Saccharomyces cerevisiae S288C: one gene and its partner. The gene in region 1 interacts genetically with each later gene. Each region holds a gene or a part of one and is shown in the gene's direction. Other genes may lie near its edges.

Evidence for each region. A genetic interaction does not mean that the proteins touch.
Region 2: mutations in REX4 (region 1) and LST4 together harm fitness more than expected from each alone (negative genetic interaction), as found in Saccharomyces cerevisiae (2 studies listed by BioGRID).

The regions. Positions count from the first base shown.
Region 1 is NC_001147.6:180,058-183,274, reverse strand, and holds REX4 (putative 3'-5' exonuclease), read left to right. Parts: upstream 1-1,847; coding exon 1,848-2,717; downstream 2,718-3,217. Other genes in the region: AVO1 (Avo1p), read right to left, coding at 1-1,593; Ras GTPase activating protein IRA2, read right to left, coding at 2,966-3,217. UniProt on the Saccharomyces cerevisiae protein: Exoribonuclease involved in ribosome biosynthesis. Involved in the processing of ITS1, the internal transcribed spacer localized between the 18S and 5.8S rRNAs.
Region 2 is NC_001143.9:114,405-120,735, reverse strand, and holds LST4 (Lst4p), read left to right. Parts: upstream 1-2,749; coding exon 2,750-5,236; downstream 5,237-6,331. Other genes in the region: TPO5 (Tpo5p), read left to right, coding at 1-356; Zn(2+) transporter ZRT3, read right to left, coding at 432-1,943; STE3 (Ste3p), read left to right, coding at 6,109-6,331. UniProt on the Saccharomyces cerevisiae protein: Involved in extracellular amino acid uptake. Required for the trafficking of the GAP1 nitrogen-regulated general amino acid permease from the Golgi to the plasma membrane.

The DNA.
Region 1 (3,217 bases):
CCTTTCTTTTGGGTGTCGCGATGAATTCATAGTCAGTACGGCTTTATCGAAGACATTGTTTAAGGTAGAGTCATCATCGCCATGATAGATGCCATATTTTTGCATAGACATTGGTATGGAATGAGAGGGTATAGTATTAGTTTGCATGTCTGAATCAAGAGACATTTCACCGCTCTCCATGGTTGACGAGTCGTTATTAGAATAACGTTCTTCGGAATATTCAGATCCTAAAAGGGACTTCCCATATGATGAGCCAGGAGTGATTCGGTCACGATTTTGTGCATTGAATTCATTGCTATTACTGCGGCTGTCTTTTGAATCCCTGTTCATGACCGCCGTTCCATCATTTGTAGATTCATGTCCTCCCAAATCAGATACTGTTTTGTTTATGTTTGAGGTCACTGTATCAAAATTCAAATCATCTAAATCTTTTTCATTGATATAAGATTCCATATCGGAAATATTGTTGCTTTCCGTTTCCGTCAAACCGTCCCTACTCACCGATCCGTTACCGCTGGCGCTGCTTCCATCTCCATGTATACCTTTATTGGCATTCAGTGAATCAGATTTTTGTCCATCATTTTTATTGTCAGTTAAAAAAATTTTCCCCTTTTGACTTGTGGGGAAATGAGATTTTAACCTTGAAGCACTTCCTATATTGCCATTTGAACTCTCTCGATCATCAAGAATGCTGATGCTGTTTCTGTTATTTGTGTAGGTGTTGTTTTTATTGTTGGACATGCCGTTGATGCCTTTGTGGGCTGGACTTGCTCCAGAACCCTTAGCATCAAAATCATCATCTAACTGAAAAAATTGAGAGTGTATATCGTCACCTTCTTCGTCATCGTCGTCGTCATCATCTTCTTCTTCTAAGTTTTCATCGAAATCGAAGTTCATATCGAATTTACTGCCTTTCTTATTATGGCGAGCACCAGGTGGATGCAAAGTAGATGATTTTGCTCTTGTATTAGTTGTATTCATGACATTTTTATTTCCAGAAGTATTTGAGTGGTCCCTTCGACTTTTGAATATCCTCACGAAAGGAAGCGACGATCTCTTACTAGATTTCTTCTGCATTTCCATCGAACTATTTAAATATGAGTCTTCCTTTGAGGAAGTTTTGTGATGTTTTCCACTGGTATGGTCGTCATCATTTAAAAGAGAGTTCGACGCAGATGAATTAAGTGGATTATAACGAAGTGTTCCATTTTCTTCAACTATCAGAGTATTTTTTGCACTTTTATCTTGCAAATTTCGTGTTTCTTCCTCGTCTCTTTCAGTCTTCTCTGCTCCTATTAAATTCTGGTTAGCCTTTCCTTTTTGGCCTTCATTCTCCCTCATTATCCTCATTTTCCCTAATGAAGCATAGTTTTCCATAAAATCCTTAGATACCGGTGGAGACTCTAGTTCAGGTAACAAGCTTACGCCGTCTGAGTTCATATATAATTCACGGATAGAAGAATCTAAGCACTGCTCTGTGTTGAATTCATCTACGGGTATGTACGGTTTTATTATTCTTTTCATTTGATCTTTCTCCGGACACACTCGTAGAAACTGAGCCCGCAGTTCATTTAATACCGTCACCGTGTCCATTATCGTCTTATTATGGTGTGGTGGGGGTTTTACAAACACTGTTTTATTTAGTTTTCCTGTTCAGTAGCCTGTATCTATTGAGAATTATTATACCGTATATTTTTTGACGCGGGCTGATATGTAAGGTCGGCTAAAAAAAAGAAAAATTTCAAAAGTTAAACTAACCTCATCGCAACCACAATCCATTTAAAGCCTGGTTCTAGAGGCTTCATAGACGTTTACAGATTTAATAAAGTAGATAGCGTACAGTTTTAATGGCTCTCTCTTCAAACTGGCAGGCACTATTAGCCTCCGAAAGCAATCCTACCTCCAATGGAAAGAATAAGCAATCAAATAGGAAAATCAGAAACGTTAAGAAAGTTAGCAAAACAGTAAATGTCAGTAGTACAACCCAATATGCCCCTCGAAAGCGCAAAAACGGCAGTAAAATTATGGACATGGTATATAACATGAACAAGGAGATTAGTAAGCATGAGAAAGACAAGCTCGAGGGAAAAGTGTTTGAATTCAACCCAAATAAAGCAAATACTAGTACTACTATTAAAGAGCCAGTAAAAGTGGGTATTTCGGAAGATACTCGTATTAATAGTAATAAGAGTAAAGAAATTGGGAAATACATCGCCATGGATTGTGAATTTGTAGGCGTTGGTCCCGAGGGTAAAGAGTCTGCGTTAGCTAGAATATCAATCGTAAATTATTTTGGACATGTCGTCCTCGATGAATTTGTTAAGCCAAGAGAGAAAGTTGTAGAATGGAGAACTTGGGTTAGTGGTATTAAACCAGAGCATATGAAAAATGCCATTACATTCAAAGAAGCTCAAAAAAAGACTGCGGATATTCTGGAAGGTAGAATTCTTGTAGGGCACGCTTTAAAGCATGATCTCGAAGCATTGATGTTATCCCACCCAAAGTCACTACTCAGGGACACTTCAAGACACCTCCCATTCAGGAAGTTGTATGCTAAGGGTAAAACACCCAGCTTAAAGAAATTAACCAGGGAGGTTTTAAAAATTTCCATTCAAGAAGGTGAGCATTCTTCAGTCGAAGATGCTCGTGCCACCATGCTATTATATAAAAAGGAAAAAACGGAATTTGAAAAAATTCACAGAAACACTTTCAACTAAGACGGTAGATGAATGGCCCCTTTTATTCTTACAATTAAAATGCATTGGTATGTACATTAGTCTATGTGGCGCTTGAATTTACTGAGCCATTCATTACACGATAGAATATATAAAAATTGTAGCTGTATAAAAGCAACCCACGTAACAAATTGCGAAAAATTAGCGATAAGAAAACCCTAACATGAGATATGTACATTCATGCTTACAGATAGATATTGATATTTCTTTCATTAGTTTATGTAACACCTCTAAGCAGAACATGACATCCTTGATAAAATCATTGTCATTATTCTCTTACGTTCATAGATATCTTCAGGTTTTACATCTAAAGGTATCATCATGTCGGAGTTCTTCGCAAATATACCAGAAGAAGTCACAATCGATAAACCTCTTTTGGTTAGACGTTCAATGGATTCTTCGTGAAGTTTTTCTAACGAATTAGACTCTGAATGCGTCACTAATAAGTTTAAAATATCGAAAGCAAGTGGAACACAATCCGA
Region 2 (6,331 bases), on another chromosome or scaffold:
TAATGGTGTACGTATTCTGCATTTTAGTTATCACTGGTCTTTATTTCAAATGGGGGAAGTATAATTTTAGATTACCCTTGGCAGATGACATCAAGGCTCCAATTCCCAGTGATGCGGAAGAAACTGTTTTTGAACTAGAGGATAGCAATGTTGAACATACTCTAAACTCGGGAACCACAGTGAAAGAGTCTGTAGAAAATAATTCTGAAGAAGGTTTCATCAAGGTGCATCCTAAAAGTAGTACAGAAAATCCCTTTGAGGAAAATGAGGAAAACGTGATAACCGATTATGGTGATGAGCACCATACAGCAGAACAAGAATTTGATCTTGCCGATGATCGTAGATATGATATATGATATATGATCGTGATTATACACCGTTATTTAATGGGAAAAGACTTATATAGAAAGAATATACGTAGTTTTAATTTATCAAGTGAAAAGGGCACTCGCTAGAATTAGCAAAACGCCAGTGCAGCACCATTTCAAGCAAGTTGTGCCTGAGCTATGGGACTGTTTCATTTCTTCATCACCTTCTCCTTGATGATGATGATGTCCATCGCTAAATCCGATACCAGTTTGGAACATTTGTAAACCAATTACTAATAGGAACCCTGCAGTAACGCTCAGTAAAAAATCCATGTTGGGTTCGTGATCCCTTGGAGTACTACCTTTAAAGATGAAATAACCTATCAATGCACCTAATGGTTGAGATCCACCACCGAGAACGGCAGTAATCAAAATGGCAACCCATTTAGATTCGAAAACAGTGTAGAATGGTAACGTCATTGCAAATCCTTCGACAAAATTATGGATCGTCAAACTTAAAAAAATGGAAAATCCCAAGGACTTTGACGAATCTGACCTGTTAGTGTAAAAAATAATAAACCCTTCGGGAAATTTGTGTAATGCAAGGACTAGACAAGTTTGCATACCAATAGACAGTAATTTGGAAAAAGGGGTCTCTAAGTGATGATGGTGGGGGTATAATGAACCATTTTCGGGATGGTATTGTGTGTCTGCCAATGCGGCCGGATTCTCAGTTACATCATTTCCCAAAGGTGACGAAAAAGAGTGCGACAACTGGTTGGAACCATAATTTTCGGGCGATTCAGAGGAATGATGATGGCGGCTCGAAAGAAAATTCTTACGGTACAACGATAGGTTTTCAAGATCGTAACCGATATTATTTTCCACGCATACAAGGCCACGATGATCCTTGTCATCGGATTGTCCATTATCTTCTGATCCCTCGCATCCATGTGGCACGTTTCTTTCACTTTGAGAAGACTTTATCACTGGTGGGACACATGCAATATATTCTGGCTGCTCTGATTGCAAGAGCGGAGTGCACTTGTTTAGGTCACAACACTCGCCTTCTGATTTCCTTCTGGTTAATAAGTCAATTAGGGACATTTTCTTTTTCATTTGGGGTCTATCGCTATCCTTTGTAATCAACGGGTCATTTTCAGAAACACTGGAAGAAGATGTTGCATAACCATGCTCAGAGGGAGCATTTTCTAAATCATGATCGTTGCTAAAATTCGAATGCGAATCCGCATGTGAGTGTGAGTGCGAATGCGAATGTGATTTGGAGTGTATATGTGAACCTGTAGCATGGTCACCGCTATCAGCACAGTGTACCAACGATTCGCTGGCGAAAGCGTGGACTAGGTAGTTTAAGAAAAAACTGAGGCAAATACCCAAAAGCAATCCAGGAAAAACCTTGAACCGGTTTGATTTTTCGATCCGAGGCAATAGCATGTATAGTGAAGTAGTGATCATAGATCCGGCACTTAGAGAAAGACCATAGTTGACCAACTTAGATTGGCTATTGCGCTTGCTATCGAAGGCAACCGATAACAACGGCACACACAGGGCCCCAAGTATGCACAGCACCGACGATATAAGAGAAAACAACAACCACCTGGGAATTTTTTCCATTTTCTTGCGTTTCTTCACTGTGATGCTTGTGAGAATATTAGGATATACCAACGTGCAACTCTGAAATGTCAAAACGGTCGTGTATAAATAAATGATATACCAGTAGGTGAAATCATCTCATTTGTCTTTCTAAAAAAGTCCATTACCCTTAAGGTTGTTGTCACAACCCACGGAGCAGTTTTAGAGGTGCAAAATTGAAAGAATGGCCACATTTTGAGCAATTCATCGACAACAAGAGCTTATGATTAACTTGGGTTGTGGGCAATTGGGTGTACTATGAAGCAGCCAATACCTGTTTTACAACAGTATTCTCAGTTTCAGCTTAGAGATGTGTCAAATCGAAGGCTAGTGTGGTGCACGGAGTTTATGGCACATTGGTAAGTAATCATTGCAACTTTTTTTTATTTGAGGAATATAGTAAGAGAGAAGCTTTAGTGATGGTCAAAGAAGAGAGGAATACAAGTGAGTTGTATCTAGGATTTTTTATTACGTGAGTGTTGTTTTACTTTAGTCGGTAGGAATCATTGTTATTTTTGTCTGTTTGTTTGTCTCTATTTTTGGGTACACGTGCGTGTTTCTTCTAGTGGATGGTTTGAACGAAGCAGGTTCTCAGGATTGATTGATTGATCTGCTTTAGTGTGTAACGTTCTGCGACTAGCTTTCGTTGCTACCGATATATAAAGAAAAAAAGGAGAGCGTGTGTTTGGAGCGTCTTAAACCCCATTGGTGAGAGCCTCCAGTACCATTTGCCTGTTAAAACTGTCTTGTGTGTGGCCTTGTAGAGAAGGTGAAGAGGGAGAGTTTATATGTTGGGTAATTTACTGAGAAATAAGACGAGTTCGTCTGGTTTTGAGAAGAGCTCAGAGCATTCCGATTTTTCCTCCGTAGTTCCCAATGTCCCTGTATACTGCAAAGCGGCAAGCACAGGAACTACTAAGACCGCTGCTGGAGCTCTTTTAGATACTGCAGTCAATGTGGAAAAGCCTTCGGAAATGCTATCAACGACTTCTCCGCCCATTTTAGATCATATATCGGATGACTTAAAACTGAAGCTTTTCGGCTCGAGGGATATTCCTTATAGTCGTCCTATCGATACGTTACAAAACAACGGAGGTCTTGGTACTGATAAAATCACGTCTATTAACGAAAAAACGTATGCATTCAGGATTTTGATCATTGAGGAAGCGGGTCAAATGGCGTGTAGGAACAACTACCGTGATATCTTCGATTACACTACGTCAAAGATTTCAAATTCGATGGAGCAGATACGGCCGAGTGAATTGAAGGAATATATATTTGGTTCTCCCGTAAGATCTTCCGATTTGACGCAGTGCGACAAGATAAGGACGATTCCTAACTCGGATTTGGTACTCATAACTAGAATTTTCTATTACACACACCAATACAACCGCATCGCAATTAGCTTATGCATACCGAGGATATTGTTGCCCGTAGTTGCAGAGTCGTGGTCTTCCATTTCATCATGGTTGACCCAGACTCAAAAAATGCTCATTGGTTTCTTGACTAAAAACCGTATTATGCAAGAAAATACTGGCAATTACAGCAATAATTCAGTCATAAAATTGTCAAATATTGACATCAGGACGCATTATCCCAAGGAAATTGAAATAATGGTGCAAACTTTACAAAAAAGAGTCATACCAGGTTTACGTTCTATGTCTGAGATTCCTAGGCTTTTCCTTTACCCTGAGACATTTAAAGAATTCGTTCACGTTTGGTTCAAAAGTATATTTAATTGGATTGAAATCAAAGATGGACCGAAACTAGGCTTCCTTCCTCTCCTAATGGCAATGATTATATCTGATTACAGGCACACTATAAGAGAACTAAAGACATCCAAGATCGTAATCCTGTCAGGAAACATGGTGGTTGCTAACAAGTTACTGTTCATCTTATCGGCTTTATTGGAGCCAAAGTACAAGGGACAAATAACGATACGGCGGGAAAACATAAGATCGGATTCGTCCGCTGTATCAAGAAATAAGTCTAACAATAATTTTGTCGATAAGCCTGAGACGGAATTGAGCACACTGACTTCAACAGACAACCTTTTGAGTCGCACAGAAAATAATAGCAATCATAATTACAACAACAGTAATGTGAGCTCTAACAGCATTGGATCACCCAATTTCCATTCTTTGAGGAAAGGATGGCAAATACCCAATCGGAGGAACTCGAACACTTCAGTATCTGTGTCTTCTAGTGAGTCTTTAGCGGAAGTTATTCAGCCATCTTCCTTCAAAAGTGGGAGTAGTTCATTGCATTATCTATCGTCTTCTATCTCAAGCCAACCTGGTTCGTACGGTTCTTGGTTCAACAAAAGGCCAACAATTTCTCAGTTCTTTCAACCAAGCCCTTCTTTAAAACACAACGAGTCGTGGGAGAGGCTGCAAACAACTGCTGGAAATATGCAAAGGACTTCAAGTTCGTCTTCTTTGCAGCAAGCAACCTCCAGGTTATCACTAACCACTCCGCAACAATCACCGTCTATCAGCGAATATGATGAGTATCCTTGGATGGGCACACCTGGCTCTCCTAATGTTGGAGATGTGTCTCACGCACCCCCATTGGTTAAGAATATATCATATAAATTTCCACTAAAGAACGTTGAGTTGAAAAGAGATTGCCAAAGGATCTCTCAGGATGATCTTTTGGATGAGGCTTTTGAAAGAATATGTCAGCCCTCTTTGGCTGACCTTAATTCCACTTACGAAATTTTTCCAGGTAACTCTTCTTATGCGGATATTTTGACTACTGATTCTGATATTGATGATGGCTTGATGAATAAACCTCTGGAACTATTGCCGAAATATACAATGTATTTAACCCATTTTAACAATTTTTTCCAGTTGCAAGCATGTCCTGCTGGTCAAGAATCAGAGAGCAGAATAACAAATTCTATGAAGATTGACCTGTTAAAGGCGGATTACACAAGAAGTCTATTAGTATCGTTACGTTCAAGGGACATTAGGGATGTCGCATTGAAAAGAGAGTTTACTGGCAATAACAACAATAACAGCAACCAGAATATCTATGATGAGAATTTTGTCGGAAAAAGGAAGTACGTGTTGAAACAGAAGACCAGAAAAATCTTTTCCTGTGGCAAGATTGGCAAGCTAAGTACTAGTTTGGAAAACTGCGTTAATTTTGTTGAAAATAGTATAAAGAGTGCAATGATGTTATATGATGATAATGGAATAGATAGTGAGCTTCGCGATTCAGAAGCTTTACGGATTTTTTCATCTCTTGTTCATTATTGTAATGCAGGTTAATGTTTTCTCCTTCTTTACATGTTTAATATATTCCAAGTTACCTAAGAGGTGTACGATATTTTTTTCTTTTATATATATGATTTTCTCTATTCATTTTTTAGTTTTTTTTGATACATAAGCGAATCGCACATTGCGCAACTTCAATTTGTTGATTCGCCAAAGTATTCTTACCATAAAACAACCATTCGTTGCTTTACCCTTTCGTAATCATTTACCGTGATAACCATAATCAGAAACTTATTATTTCAGCCTAGTAGACCGGCCAAGCAGGCCTTGTAATGTTTCTCTTGATTGCTTGAATCTTTTAAGCAGCCAAATCTTTCCAAAAAAATGCAATTATCAGAACAAAACTATTTAAGGTGACTTCTCCGTATTTACACCACCAGAAGCGTTCTGGCTCCCCTTTTCTCTAAACGTTAAACATTTTACAATTGAAATGTTACCAATCCTATATTATTGTACCACATTGCCAGATTTATGAACTCTGGGTATGGGTGCTAATTTTCGTTAGAAGCGCTGGTACAATTTTCTCTGTCATTGTGACACTAATTAGGAAACTTCTCGACTATCAATGTGTAAATGAAGGAATAATGGCGGAAACTTTGAAACTTTGTCAATAATTGCATCATTGGATGCGTTTCATTTGGCCGTTATCACGGAGAGGCAGAGTTCTCTCCACAATTTGGGCAGAAGTCTTTTGAAAAGACATATATATATATATATATGTATATGAGTGGATGCTTAAGGTAAGAATAATTTCTGAATTCCCAAGTATTCATTTTGTGCAGTATTCACATATTCTATTTTATTGCTTTTTAACTTTAGAGGCAATTAAATTTGTGTAGGAAAGGCAAAATACTATCAAAATTTTCATGTCATACAAGTCAGCAATAATAGGGCTTTGTTTGCTAGCTGTGATACTATTAGCTCCCCCTTTAGCATGGCATTCACATACCAAGAATATTCCAGCAATCATTTTGATAACATGGCTTCTTACAATGAATTTAACGTGTATTGTAGATGCGGCAATATGGAGTGACGACGATTTCCTCACGAGATGGGATGGTAAAGGTTGGTGTGATATTGTCATCAAGT